3 linked regions of the Arabidopsis thaliana genome follow. The protein of the gene in region 3 interacts with the protein of the main gene of each other region in a pairwise test. Each region holds a gene or a part of one and is shown on either strand. Other genes may lie near its edges.

Region 1 (6,680 bases), on a different chromosome or scaffold from region 3:
TTGTCTCCGGCCTTTAGACAAGATCCTAGACGGCTGCGCAGGTAACGTAGTTCACTCTGTGCTATGAGTCCATTACCCTATGATCAAGAGTGCAGTGTCTCTAAGGTACTAATGTATGAGAAATTTGGTGCAGCTACCAAGACCTAGATGCTCCAGAGGAAGAAGTGACCGTTATTGATTACAGGAGCTTGTAGACAAGACAGGGCTAGAGAGATCCCGAGTTTACTGGTTCGGGTTGGGTTAAAGGGCATCAGTATTAGAAGGCAAAGCTAGCAGATTGTGGCATTTTCTTACCCTTTTGATGTATTATGTCTTGTTCCTCCCAATTTTCACTCACTAAAGCGTAAAATACGCACTCCATACATTTCCTTATTGTTTTTCAAAATTTTTCATGTGCTTTCTTACTAATTCTGTTCGACGATGATTACATAAATAGCATGAGAATTTCTTGTATTGAATAATGCGTTTTATCCACATTGTTTGTTATCAATACTTAAGTCTCCATGGCAGTCTTAAATCTCCATGGCCATTAAATATAATCTGCAGTCAAACGAATGACTATCCACAAGAATCCAGGTTTTTAGGGTTCAATGTAAATAAGAAGGATATATACACTTCAAAGCCTGGCTCAATGCCTACCAGATTCTACACACTTGCGTAGATGACGTGACACTTACACATGTTACAATTACACATAAGGCATTGTATCGTAAATCTAACAACACTAATCACAGACGAGCTCTAATGAGGTTAACAACCATTTTCCAAAGTTTTCTTTTCCAGAGGTTGTTTCTCTCTCTCAACATCATTTGCGTTGCTTCTTTGCTTGAGATTCTGTTTGTAGCTCTCCCTGCAAATGCAAGATACCGTTTAGATACTCTATAAGACAATACATAGACCAAGTAATAGTTCAGGAACAATTATAGGTCGATATGAACCTAATTGATTGCTGTTACTATTACTAATTCAACTATCATTGGCCTTGTAATTATTTAATAACTACTACTTGGAAAAAGAAAAAGAAAAAGGGAGTGTGCCTACAACGATTGAGAGCTGCTCACGGATATAGGCCATTGATCTCAACATGGCACCTAGTGTATCTCGGGACACCTGAAACTTGACCTCTGATTCTCCTGTTGTTGTCTCGGTATCTTGAAGCTGGAGTAAGGAAAACAAAAGAAGATTTTTTCACACTGTTGAAACCTTCTAGTTCAATTAAGAGTCCCTAATATGGAGTAAAACATTGATTTTGGTAATCAAACATGAAATTTCATATTCAAGTAGTGACGCTAGTATAAATAACTGCAAAACGTATGGCAAGTTAACATGAATGAGAGAATCAGCTTAAACAAGTCAAACAACACAGAAGTTTCACACACTAACGGTAGATGGAATCTATGTTAGAACAAACCAAAGACAATCAATAAATTAAAAGGAGTTTAGTCAAGTCAAGAAGACTACATGAGAAGCTACGAGCCTAGAGTCTAAAAGACATACCTTCAAATTGATGACAGCTACTCTATTGGCTGGAGATGAAAGTTGCTCGCTAATGTAAGCCATGGACCTTAACATGGGTTCAAGTGTGACGCTAGACAGCTGAAATTTGACATCCATGTCTGCTGAGGGAAACTTTCTGTAATCGTGCAACTGAAAACATCATGAAAAATAATCCTCAGTAAAGCGGTCAACTACTATTTTGCAGGAACGAGCAAGACTATTAATGGCAACAACTTTGATTTTCCTACACTATAGCCAGTAACTTTTCCGAAAAGGCGAATGTCAATTGTTCAAATCTTCAAGATCATTATTCTTACAAATCTAATCTCTTTTAGATAAAGCATCCCATCAGACCAACTTTCAGTAAAAGTTACTGCAAAACCCTACAGAAAAGATTTACTGGTTCATATAATGCACACCTTTAAATTGATAACTGCAACTCTACCACCCGGCATTGTATTTTTACTCTCCATCCCCCAAGTCAATGACTTAAGACAAGGAAGAGCCACCTGTAAGACAAAGTAAATCAAGTTACTGACCAACACCAATAGAATCAAAGAAATAAGTCTGTGAAAGGTTTCCTCTGGGTACCATATTCTCAGGAGCAGTATCATCTCGGTGAAGTGACACTGGTGCCATACGCGGCAGATTCAGATCAGAAACAGATTGAGCTCTGGCCCCACCATCGTTAAGGTTAAATCTGCGTATCATTTCATCCTGGCGCGGCCACAGCAAAGGGGTTGTGTCAGCAGCTGATAGAGAGGTCTTGTCACCACTACCAATTCCACCACCATGTGAGCTAGGAGGCGCAGCTCTACCTATCCTTTTCCTGACAACTGAAACCTTCTTTCCACCTTCTCTGAGTTGCCCTAAAGCAATATTATAAGCTTCAGCTGTAATTGCCCCTTCCTCAGCATACTTGATGGCTTCGCGACATAAATGATTATAGCGGTGTATCGAGCTATCATGCCCATTTTCACTGACATGCTCATCTAACTCTACCATGCTCTTGGCATTTCTTGTCCACCGTCTCAAAATATAATGTGGTGGCAAAGTGAGTATATTAGTGACAGTAAACACCGTCAAAACATGTCGGCAGAGTATGCCGGAGTGCTCAAACATTTGACAGCTGCAGTTTGCTCTCATTTCAGGGTAGCAAAACGTTACTATATAAGCTTTGTTGTCATTTTCAAAATTTGCAACCCTAAATGTGCTGGTAGTACCATCATCTTCAATTCTGTTTGCCGTGTGAGCGAATGTCTCTACCAACTCTTCCTGGAACTTTCCAAATATTTTCCTTGTAAAGAGATTTGCAGCCTGATTCTCCATGGGTGATGGCGTCTTCAAGACTGGAGGTGTGTTGACAGTGTCAAGATCTGCTTCAATCTCCATCTCGAACCAGCTCTCCATAGCCCTTTCGTACAGCCTAAAGAACATCGGAAGGGTTGTCTGCTGATTCACATATCCATCGAAAAAGGAACCCGAATAACCTTGGCTAGGAAACACTGCAGCAAAAAACGAATCCCGGAAATAAACAGGTACCCACTGAGCTCGAGCATTATATAAAGAATTAAGCCATTCATGTCTTCCTAAGTCATATTTGTCAATGACAGAACTCCAGGACGATTCAAACTCCTCAATCGTTTCAGTAAAGTTGATACAATTATATAGCTCCACCTGAAAACTAGGATACGCAAGACACACATGAGCCAGCTTTTCCTGACCTTCTCTTAGCACATCCCACTTATTAATACAGTGACGAGCACCTGGAAATACCTGACCAGCAGCAATCTGTATGGCTCTATCTTGATCAGTCACCAAAGAAACCGGCGGTTGATCTCTCATTGCTGTTAGAAAAGTCTTGAACAGCCAGATAAATGAAGTGTCTGACTCGTCCAAAATAAGTGCACAGCCAAATAAGATAGCCTGACCATGATGATTCACACCAGTAAATGGCGCAAAAGGAACACGAAACTGATTGCACCTGTACCTCGTATCTAAGGTAACCGTGTCACCAAAATGAGTATAAGCAACCCTAGATCTCGAATCAGCCCAAAACACATTTGACATCTGATTATCTTCATCAAGCTGAACCGCATAGAAAAAGCCAGGATTCTCTGCCTGCATCCTCTTAAAATACTCCAACAGATTATGTGCATCCCGTCCAATCGTTCTCTTCGTGTTTGTAGCCATAGACGCATTTCTAGCTCCTCTGCTATTAGCATCCATAGAAACATACATCATACCACTAGGCACATTAACCCCTTCTTGATAACTAGATTTCTCCGAGTTAGCAAAATGCCTACGAGGACGAAGACAATGAAGCATATTAGAACTTGCTAATCCATGAGTATGCTCTTTAACAAACTTTGTAACAACCCATTTCTCATGACCTTGCAACTCTATCCTAACCATTGCATCACAACTCTCAGAAAGCCTTCTCTTTGACCTTTTACTACTACTACTACACACAAATTCTCGAACACTAACAGACCCATCAGTTCTAGGAAGAAGCTTAGAAGTAAAACCAAGCTGCCTCGAGTACTCATCATAGAAAGATTTAGCTTCTTTTTCTGAATTAAACTCCATACCAACACATGGCTCTGCAATTCCAATCTCATCTTGCACCCCTAACGAGTTATCCATGTTGTTCTGTCCACTGCAATCACTAGGTTCAACATCTCCTTCATCTCCTATCTCATGATTCCCCATTGACACATTCTCTTCCACCAAATGAACATCCATAACCTTCACTTAGTAGAGAAGTTCTAATTTCACACAAATGTTTCTCATCTTCATAGTCTACAAAAAAGTACTATTAGTGTTTGGAGATCTTCTTCCGAACATATAAATATGAGGACTTTTTGCATCTCTCACTCTCCGATTGTTTGTTGAGAGAGAGAGAAACCCAGAAAGAGGAGAAAGCAAAAGAGAGAAAGAGGAGCTTACGTCAGTCAGTGATGCGAAGAACTCAGAACTCAGAAGAATCGAAAGTCGTGAAATTAGGGAGAAGGGCAACAACAATTGGGGAAAATTGAGAAGAAGCTATGGCAGCTATTTCGTTTTCAGATTCGACCGGAGGAAATTAAACTCCTGCTTCTTCTCAGTCGTTCGCGAGGAAGAAGAGATTCAAGCACGAAACCGACGTCGTTTCGTGCTTTTGTTGGTTTTTTTTTTTCAATTTAAATAGCGAGACCTCGTTTTAATCTAAACCCAACAACAGAAAGCCCTCATAAAAAGTGAGGCCTCATTTGAACCGAACCCAACAACCAGGAAAGCCCTTGATACAAGAGACAACGCGCGCGAAAGCATTTCATCTTCTTCATCTGTCTTTTTTAGTTGAGCCCTAATTCATTTTCGGATGACAACTTCATTTCCTTGTATTGTCGTCATAAGAATCTCAGGTTCTAGATGATTCTCTCTTCTCTTATTTGATCTGGTTCCATCTCTTCACCGTACCAGTGTCAATCACGAATCCCTTTGTTTTGAACCCTAATTTATTTAATACGCAACACAAGCAATCAATACAAGAGTCTCTTAGCATCATCGGCGTGGGCCAAATATGAGCGGAAGGAGATGTGATCGGAGGTTGAATGTGCAGAAAGTTTCAGCGGCAGATGAACTCGAAACTAAACTTGGATTTGGGCTTTTCTCCCAAGGGGAAACGCGGCTCGGGTGGCTACTCACGTTTGCATCAGTAAGTCACGTTTTGTGACTTCCCTAGTAGTTAGTTCTCTGAATACTGAAAACTTCTAAGTACACTCACTGATTGGTTATTATACTACGTTGTTGGCAGTCATCTTGGGAAGATGCCGATACTGGGAAAACCTTTAGTTGTGTGGACCTTTTCTTTGTCACTCAGGTCAGCTGTGGTCATTGCTACTATATTAGCTTCTTTCTTCGTATCAGTTGCTCAACCCTTTTTGTTTCTTTCAGGACGGCTCTTCTTTTAAGACTAAGTACAAGTTCCGCCCTTACTTGTATGCCGCCACCAAAGTATATATGTTCTCTCTGTACTCGAGTGTTTTCTTCCTATATGTCAACTAAACTGCAATGCCCTTTTTACAGGACAATATGGAACTGGAAGTTGAAGCCTACTTGAGACGCCGATATGAAAGACAAGTTGCTGATATTCAGATTGTTCACAAAGAAGATCTTTATCTTGTAAGTCACTAAAGCATAACTCCTTTTACGCAGTTTGCAACTACCTGTTGATTACTCGTTTCTTTCTCTCTATATAGAGGACTCATGTCAATTACATTTGCTACAACTTTTAGTTATTTTCCTCTTCTTGCAACTTCAAATTGAGCAGCTCTAGTAATAAGTCCAAAACTGATCTTGCTTCCATGTGCTCAAATCATCTATCTAGCCTGCCAAAAACGTTCTTGTAACTCAAAAAACGTTTGCTAGTAAATGTTTAAGTGTTTAATGCTTCTTCTTTAGTGGCAACATTATGCAAGATATGAACGTTTTCAGTACCTCTTGTTTGGTTGTCACTTTTGCTGACCTTTTCTTTGACCTACCATACCAATTTGAGTTTCTTGATTTCTTATGTTCATGAGCAGAAAAATCATCTATCTGGCCTGCAAAAAAAATATCTCAAAGTATCATTTGACACTGTGCAACAATTGGTGGAAGTAAAGAGGGATCTGTTGCATATTGTCGAACGAAACCTCGCAAAATTTAATGCACTTGAAGCTTACGAATCCATCTTGTCTGGAAAACGGTAAGGCAATGTATTTTTGTTCTTATAAATTTCCAGAGTTCTTACAAATTTATCCCTTAAAACTATGTTGTTCCTTAGTTATAATTTCCAAGTCTTGGAATGTAGAGAACAACGTCCTCAAGACTGCTTAGACTCTGTGGTGGACCTCCGCGAGTACGATGTTCCTTATCATGTCCGATTTGCAATTGATAATGGTAACCTATTTAGTCAAACTTTTAATCCTAGTTTAGCCCTCAAGGTTGTCAAAATCATGATGTGTTCTCGCTGTCCAGATGTGCGTAGTGGGCAATGGTACAATGTCAGTATTTCCAGCACTGATGTCATACTAGAGAAGAGGACGGATCTTCTCCAACGCGCAGAAGTTCGCGTTTGTGCATTCGATATAGAGACAGTAAAGCTTCCATTGAAGTTCCCGGATGCTGAATATGATCAAATTATGATGATATCCTACATGGTT
Region 2 (4,822 bases), on a different chromosome or scaffold from region 3:
TATTATATAGTCTGCATTCACATTTATTTTTATTTGTTTTCTGTCTTCATCCTTTTTGTAAAAACTTATATTTAACCCATGCGAAAACAGATTTTTAAAACTTCAGATTATTTATCTTGATTCTTGAATATATGACCGATCGATGTTGAGTGAATATTTTCTTTCACAACATAATAATAGATTTTATAAAGTAAATTATGTTCTAATTAAACACTATCAATTTACAAATTGTTAATATTACTTTCTAAAGGCATACAAACACAAAAAGAATATACTGAAACAATCAAATATTTTTGGTGTACTTCGTCAAAAAAAAAGAAACAAAATTTTGAGCCATAACTTTGTACGCGACATTCAAACTATATCACTTTCTAATTAATTCTCATAGTCTAAACTAGTCTTGATATAATATTATCATCATATACAAAACCAGTTTTAACAATATCATGATATAATAGTATTAGATATCTCATCATATACAAAATCAGATTGATTGTTTAGTGGGGACAAACGACAAAGAAACAGAGATAAAATGAATCATATACTAAAAAAAGCATTTAATATATTTCATAGCATATAAGATCAAACGAGATATTTTTATGTTTTTTGTATCGTTTTCGTTCGACCATGTAAAACAAACGAGACACTTTGCTGTTTTCTATTAGCTTTGAAACAACTACTTCAAGGGCCAAATATAACAGAGATTGGTGGGCCAATAGAGAGAGGCCCATCTCATTCCTTGATAAAATAGTTTCTCAATTTTTTTTGTATTAACACTTAAAAAAACGTAATGTTACTAAAAAAACAGTAAGATTATACTTTGATGTATATGTTACTATTATTACTATAGGAACCAACATTGTTTGACGAATACTTTTTAGAATTTTTCTTTATGTATAATTAATTTCTTAATGGATAAAGAAAACGAAGATGATTGAGAATCGAGACGACAGTGACACTATCAGAAGAAGAAAAAAAACAATTAAAAACAATAATGATAAAAAAAAGTGTCATATTCTCCTCAAAATCCAAAAAACCTGACATAAAAAATCTCGTGTACTATTTAATCACTCACTCACAAGAAAAATCAAATTTAAAATCAAGTAAAAAAATCAAAATTAAAAAGAAAATCTCACGTGTTTTTTTTTTTTTTTTTACTTAGCAAAAAAAATTACTACAGAAAATAAAAAAAATTAACGGTGAAAACAAAAGTTTTACACAGCCGCCGAACGCCGTCACCGCTACCGCCGTCGGCAGAAAATCCCACCGTTAAAATGTTTTTGTGTGTGTCTAATCTTGCTGATCCTCCTCATCACCACCTCCAAGTGATCCACTAGCTTGAGAGTCGCCGGAAACTTGCCGTCCGTACTGGTTCAAGCCGGAGAGAATATTATGATGATGTTGTTGTTGATGATGATGATGTCTCTGTGTATTATGATGATCACCACCACCGTCACTTCTTCCTCCTTCATTATTATTACTATCTTCATTAATCTCATGATTACTAGTTGTTGCTAGCTGTTGTTGTCCAGTAAGAAATGCCATTGGCGCTGCGAAATTCATAAAATGTAAACCGCTAGAAACCGCGCCGCTTGGAACGCCCGAAACGCCACTTCTATATAACGCTGCCGCTGCCGTGTTAATGGAAGGAAACGTCCAAACAGGCTCTCCACCGCCGCCACCAGTACCAATAGAAGCTGTCATAAGACCACCTGTTTGGTTGTTATTACCACCACCACCACCTGCAGCCGCAGCCGCCGCAACCATCCAGAAATTTCCCGGTATTTGTTGCGCGGCGGCTGCGGTGGCTGTAGATCCACTGTTGCTAGATTGAAGTGTATATCCTCCGATTTGATCATGTTGGTGTTGTTGTTGTTGTTGATGCAAATCCGACGTCGTTTGGATTCTTCTTTTCTTCTCCGAGTTTAACTCTTCAGAATCTTGATCTCCTTCTTGCTTTGTTGGATTATGAAAGTTCAAAAACGACGTCGTTGGTGTGAAGTTATCAATACCAGGAAACAAAGACGACGTAGGTGCACGTCCCTGTAGATGGGGATGATGAAACCCAACACCACCACCACGTTGTTGTTGTTGTTGTTGTTGAAGCATCGCCGGAGAAAATATGTTATTAGGGCTAAAAGTGGAAGCGGCGGAGCGGAAATGAGAAGGAAGAGACATGGAAGAGCCTGAAGAACGGAGAGAGATGTTTAAAGAAGTGAAATTCGCCGGGATTGTTCCGGTTCCGGTGGCGGCGATTACAGATGGTTCAGCTTGTTGAAGAAGCCACTCTATTGTCTCACCGTCGGATTTATGACCTAGCTCTCGCGTTAGCTGAAAAACCCTAGCTGCACATAACGCCGGCATCCTTATTCTCCTCCCTCTTCCGTCTACTTTCGTGTGTCGGTCTTTCGTCGACGCTCGTTTCAACGGTGGCTTTTTAGCTGCCACCACCGCAGATTCCTCTTGCGTTTGTAATAACTCTTTTTGCGTTGTCTGCGGTTGTGACTTTTGCGATTGCGATTGAGGTTGCGATTGAGATAATTGTTGGTGTTGATGGAGAGAAAATAGAGAGGAGGAGGAGGAAGGGGAAGGTTGTTGTTGATGGTTGTCGTCGGGGTCGTGTTTTCCGAGTAGTTGAAAAGGGAAAGTAGGGCGGTGGTGATGGTGGAGGTGACGGTGGTGATCATCTCCTCCTCCTCCTCCGACGCTGTCTCCACCGTCCATTATGACATTTAAGATACTTGATGTTGGCTTTTGCATATATAAGTGGGGAGCTATAACTATTTTATATATATTTTATAAATTAGGGTTTTTGGTTTTTTATTTATATGTGATGTTTTCGACAAGAGGGGAAAAAAAATAAAGTGTATAAGTCTGAAGGAATTGATTGAGAAAGAGAGGATAAGAAAGAGAGAGACAATGGAGAAGAAAAGCTTAAAGAAACAAAGATCATGAGTGAGAATTATATGGGTGAGCTTTACATAACATTAAAAAATTAAAAGAAAAATCTCATTACATATCTTTTTTTTTTCAAATGAAAATACTGTTCATTGCTTCTTTATGAAAATTACTTAAAATCATATACTTAGAGAAATGTCAACAATGGGAATATCATTTAATAGTTGAAGAAAAGAAAGTGTCATTTAATCAACGCAAAAATGAATTGATGTAATTAGCCAATGTGAATATTTCAACGTTAATTTCTGCTCAATCAAAATCAGTCTGTTATAGTTAACTTAATCCGAATTATATCAAATTATTTTTCACGTTAATTATTTTCTCAGATAAGCATTTAGTCAACTTTTTAAAACAGTAAAAAAAAAAAAAGGTTTAAACAAAATAAATCTGTCCATAATCAAAAGATTTCGGTATATCTTTCATTATATTCTTTTCTCGATGTAGATTTACTCATCAATCAAATGAAAAAAAAAACACCCACCGTAAAAAAGGGCTACAATATTCACCGTACAACGAAAATACTTTTCACGACTAGTTAAAAATGGAAAAATCTGAACGTTGCGTTAATAAATGAGATGAAAAAATGTACAATGTGGAGTCTTTAATATATAGTAAATGTAAGAAAAATATGTCATATATGTGAAGGGGATATGGTTGGAGAGAGTCGTTGTGGCAGCAGAGTCCACGTGAGGTGTCCTCTTTTATCATTCATTCCATAAAGACAATGGAGAGGTCGACGAGAGAGTGATGGGGCCAACACTCCTCTCCAAATTAAACAACTCAATTTGGTCAAAAATTTAGTAATTTATTTCAAAACGTTTTGGGTCCTACATCATTCACGTAATCATTCTTCCCCTGCTACTTTTGCCGGAAACTAGAAACATTATCATTGTTATTCACAATTTTAAACCCAAGCATTATTCGTTTTTATTTAATCAGATAGCAAATCTCTATACAAAAAAAGTGAAGAACTATGGTATGTAACACCACTGCCCAAAAGTTGATTTATGTATGTTATCAAATAAATAGGGTTTTTCAAAAAAAAAAGAAAAAACTAAAAGTATGAATAAAATGAGACTTTTAGCATTTTAACCAACCTCTCTGTTTTTCTATTATAAATGTCTATTTTTGTTTTTTCAAAGTAAAAGAACTACTTATTAAGGCTTTGAAATATTGTAAACTAAACTCTATTAATAATACATATGGAAACTATGACTATTTTGATAAAAATAAAAATATATGATCATAGATGTCATATATATAAATATATATATATATGTTAATGAATGTATTTGATGAAGAATTTTTGTAAATAACATATGATATGTGATATGTGTTATTATTCGAAGAAATGATATAGTTTAATATTACGTACACATATTACAAACTGTTTCGACGTATTACATATTTGTTGTTTAAATAAGCACCATAAACGTATATTTAAAATAAAGAAGCAAAAGTTTCAACAACAATTAAGATTATAAAAAGAGCATAAAGAATCGAAAGTATGGTAGAGTAAATGTGGATGATGATGATAGCTTTGGGATTCCCTCTCTTGTTATAAAATATAAAACTTTGATAAATATGCATGATTATATATGATGATGGTACTTGCTTTCGTTTCGTCTATTGGGGTCTTAATTAAATGCTTAATTAGGATTTAATTAAAAATATCTGGCACTATAGCTAGGGCTCAACCTTGAATAATTACTTCTTTTAGTTTAATAACTTAAACCAATTCACTAATCAATTGGTTTTGTACTATAAATTAATTATTGTAGATTGCAGTCTACTCCCACCTAGGACGGAATCAAATGGATTGTTCATATTCATAAATGTAAAATGACAGAAACACAAGTGGTCG
Region 3 (4,030 bases):
TGAATGGTATTACCAGTTTCTTGTTATGCTTTGGGTTCAGTAAAGTTCCACTCATTTTCCAGTATCTGATGAATGATAGAGCAGTCTTTTTAGAACTTTGAGCTTTCATATTCCTTCCGTCCAACAAAGATGAATTTTCTATGGAAAAAAATTGTCCCACAAAGATACAAATTTTGTATTTTTAATATAAATTTTAAAATTGTTTACCTGTTTTATCCTAAGTAAATAAGTAGATAAATATTTTTTATTATTTTTAAAATATATTAAAAGGTTAAAATTGTCAGTATACATTATTTTTTAAAAATGTGAAATTTCTATAAAAAAATCCATCTTCATAGGATAAAGATGTTATTAATTTTAGCTATTAGTCATGATCAACCTACACTGGTACTTCTATATTTCCTCCATGATATCAATTTTTATGTTTTAACCAGTGATATGAACTGTGACTTTCCACCTTCATAACTTTGATATCCATATATATTAGTGTAAGTTTCGTACTGTACATATACTTGCATCATAACTGGATTAGCCGAGACTAAATAATTTTGACTATTCTTCACAGTTCATACTCAAGGTCTCTGTTCTTTGTAATTCTAGACTACATATCAAATAAAAAGATGATGATATATTAGTCAAAACTCAAAAGTAATTAGAAGAAAAAACTTTGTAATTCCGGAATATCATACGTTACTACTTTTCATTAGTAAAATACCCAAATTACTTGGGAAATTGAGGTTCTGCAGTTCCCGATGTACAAGAGAATAACAATACAATACACTGATCTAAAGTGAATGGGACGCTTGACATTGCCAAACCAAACCATGCTTTTGTATCAATATCTAATAAACATATAAGCTTAAATTTATAATGATGTATTATTATCAAAATAAACAATGATAATATAACATTAAGATATTTCTAGCCTTTTCTTTTCCGCATAAAAGTCTGTCCTGGCTCATTATAAACTACCACTAATTTAGGCAAAATCCGTATCTTAACAAAAGTAATAAAAGCAATTTCGAGTATTGGGATTGGAAGATACCTTTTCCCCTTATTCATTCTTCTTCTCATTCTTCTTTTCTCTAAATAAAGTAGTTGAGACTTGAGAGCCACCGAAAAGCATTCGACATCCTATCATTAAAGCTAACTTTTTTCAGTGTTTTATTTCTAAAATAATTTCTTAAAATAAAGAAAGGTGAGAGAGAAATTATGTCCCTATACAACTAGTAGAATGAAAGATTGTCAAGCTTTGGTTTGGGATTTTTCTAATAAATCACATGCATTTGTTAGAATTTGATCCCAAAAAAAAAAAATTCAAACCTTTTTCCTGTAAAAGCAAACCTATTGGCTCGTAGGTCAATGTCAATCTCAATGAATAGTAAAGTCTTTTGATATCACGTATCTATAACATATTATTTTTAGCGTGGTTCATGTCCCTCAACATTCTGCCTAAATTATAGGATCTCAAGACATAGTACTATAGACTACAACTACAAGTAGAGGAAAATTTTATAAGAGAGATAAATTATGCGGTATTCACGCATGACATGCGTAAGCATGAAACTAAAATTTGGTTGATACATTACTATGCCGAATTTAAAGTAGTGCTCCATGCAGACATGAACATATCAGATATCACACGTACGCATGTATTACGTGTATGTAGAGACACACGTACGCATATCTATATTCACACAATGAGATTTCACTTTCTCAAACAAAGATCACTGTCTTCAATTAGTTTCAAATTTGTTCTTTACCTATTGCTTTTACATTTCTGAGTGTATATATTTACAATAAGGACAAGGAGATTTTAAATGATAAAAGTCAACCATATCCCATCATTTGGTCTTTGGTTTCCCGACGTCCCACTTTTGTAAAAATCATCTGTTCATTTTCCATTCTTTTTCTTTTTCCTACCCAACTGGATATCACCAATGATATCATTATACACTAACACTATCATTTCACACTTATCTTCCTCTATATATACATAGCTTAAGTCTTGTAACGAGAAAGGCATGCATAGCATTTGCTAGTTTTAACATATAGCAATGAAGGTTCATGAGTTTTCGAATGGGTTTTCTTCATCGTGGGATCAACATGACTCGACATCATCCCTTAGCCTAAGCTGCAAACGCCTCCGTCCTCTCGCCCCTAAGCTCTCCGGCAGCCCTCCCTCCCCTCCTTCTTCTTCCTCCGGCGTCACTTCAGCCACTTTTGACCTTAAAAACTTCATTAGACCCGATCAAACCGGTCCGACAAAATTTGAACACAAACGAGACCCTCCTCATCAAGTCAGTTCCATTATTGTACTTCGTACATTTTACATCGTTTCTTTCGTTTGAAAAAAGAAGAAGAATTCACTCTAGAAGAATTTTGATAATTGCGGCATACCTAATACTTTGACATTTATAAATTATAACGACTGGAGTGGTTCCTTTTATTATTAATTTTATTTATTTATTTTAATGTATGATTCCTAACAAATGTAATGAAATAATGTGTGGGTTCAGTTGGAGACGCACCCGGGAGGGACAAGGTGGAACCCGACTCAAGAACAGATAGGGATACTTGAGATGTTGTACAAAGGTGGAATGCGTACTCCTAATGCTCAACAGATTGAGCATATCACATTGCAACTCGGTAAGTACGGGAAAATCGAAGGGAAAAATGTGTTCTATTGGTTCCAGAACCACAAAGCCCGCGAGAGACAGAAGCAGAAGAGGAACAACCTCATCAGCCTAAGTTGCCAAAGCAGCTTCACGACCACTGGTGTCTTTAATCCGAGTGTAACTATGAAGACAAGAACATCATCGTCACTAGACATTATGGTAGGAATTTAAGGATTTTGTATAGTTTTGTGGTTTTGATCAACTATATTTAAGGATAATTTTTATGATTGTGTAGAGAGAACCAATGGTGGAGAAGGAGGAGTTAGTGGAAGAGAATGAGTACAAGAGGACATGTAGGAGCTGGGGATTTGAGAACTTGGAGATAGAGAACAGGAGAAACAAAAATAGTAGTACTATGGCAACTACTTTTAATAAAATCATTGACAATGTAACCCTCGAGCTTTTTCCTCTCCATCCTGAAGGGAGATGAAGTCATGAAGGTGAGGCAGAAAATTGTGGAATTCTTATGTAGATCTGGTTTAGGTTCAGAGGAATCAATTGGTATCTAGAAATTCAAAATAAAAATAAAAATAGGAATAAGTCTCTAAAACTACAAAATCTACTTAAGAATTCCCTTATTAATCTGCGAGTTTGATGTATCCTATGTAGATTATTTTTGCGATGTAATCTTAATTATGAATGCTCAGTTTAGCTCATCTTTTTTTCGCGTTTATTCTTGACAAATTCACTAGTGATCAGTTGTACTCTCTTCTGATTTGGCCATCTAAGTATTTCTCTAGATCGTTGGTATGTAGGAATGTTTCATTTAGAGAAATTTCTGAATAAAGACACATTTGATGTTGTTAAAATAATATCTCTGTCTTAATTCCTACGTACGTACAAGAGCAAGAAGTTAAAAGGAAATAATAATAGCATTTCCCGTTGAAAAGGGGGTAGACCTAGTATATTTCTATATAAACAAACATTGAAATCTAAAACTTTTTGTACTGTTATATACTTATATTAAAACTCTTAGTAAAACAGGTGACTCAATAATATTTATATTAATTTTTTATTTTTGATAAATATATACTAAATAAGTTTATGAGATGATAACAAGAAGAATCTTTTCAAGAATTTGATATTTCCAATGGAATGTGTACAAAGACATCAATATATGTAAGCTGTGGTGTGTATGTGGTTAGTTGTTTGTCTGATGCTTTATTGACTCTCGCAAGTGGTTGTTTTGTATTTTGGTTGAAACAAAGAGAGAGTTTTGCTTTTTAGGTTAAAAGTTGAAATGGCATTATATGAGACACACTCACTGAAGTCCATGCACTCGCTTTCCCGCTACATTGCATGCTAGCTAGCTGTTTCTATACATACGCAGATATATGTAGCTCTTCTATATT

What was found.
Region 1: the proteins of WOX4 (region 3) and FRS3 interact in binary tests that used the Arabidopsis thaliana proteins (3 or more experiments, as listed by UniProt).
Region 2: the proteins of WOX4 (region 3) and TCP14 interact in binary tests that used the Arabidopsis thaliana proteins (3 or more experiments, as listed by UniProt).

Annotation. Positions count from the first base shown.
Region 1 is NC_003071.7:11,576,164-11,582,843, forward strand, and holds FRS3 (FAR1-related sequence 3), read right to left. Parts: upstream 4,655-6,680; 5' UTR 4,243-4,654; coding exon 2,089-4,242; intron 2,007-2,088; coding exon 1,917-2,006; intron 1,648-1,916; coding exon 1,498-1,647; intron 1,159-1,497; coding exon 1,042-1,158; intron 851-1,041; coding exon 806-850; 3' UTR 505-805; downstream 1-504. Other genes in the region: SE (C2H2 zinc-finger protein SERRATE (SE)), read left to right, coding at 1-41, 134-194; TIL2 (DNA polymerase epsilon catalytic subunit), read left to right, coding at 5,060-5,194, 5,294-5,359, 5,434-5,493, 5,566-5,661, 6,063-6,223, 6,329-6,417, 6,496-6,680.
Region 2 is NC_003074.8:17,556,942-17,561,763, reverse strand, and holds TCP14 (TEOSINTE BRANCHED, cycloidea and PCF (TCP) 14), read right to left. Parts: upstream 2,972-4,822; 5' UTR 2,761-2,971; coding exon 1,291-2,760; 3' UTR 505-1,290; downstream 1-504. UniProt on the Arabidopsis thaliana protein: Transcription factor involved the regulation of plant development. Binds to the Up1 elements (5'-GGCCCAWW-3') in early light-induced proteins (ELIPs, e.g.
Region 3 is NC_003070.9:17,235,981-17,240,010, reverse strand, and holds WOX4 (WUSCHEL related homeobox 4), read left to right. Parts: upstream 1-1,825; 5' UTR 1,826-2,057; coding exon 2,058-2,300; intron 2,301-2,519; coding exon 2,520-2,837; coding exon of another isoform or gene 2,838-2,849; exon of another isoform or gene 2,850-2,913; coding exon 2,914-3,108; 3' UTR 3,109-3,487; downstream 3,488-4,030. UniProt on the Arabidopsis thaliana protein: Promotes differentiation and/or maintenance of the vascular procambium, the initial cells of the developing vasculature.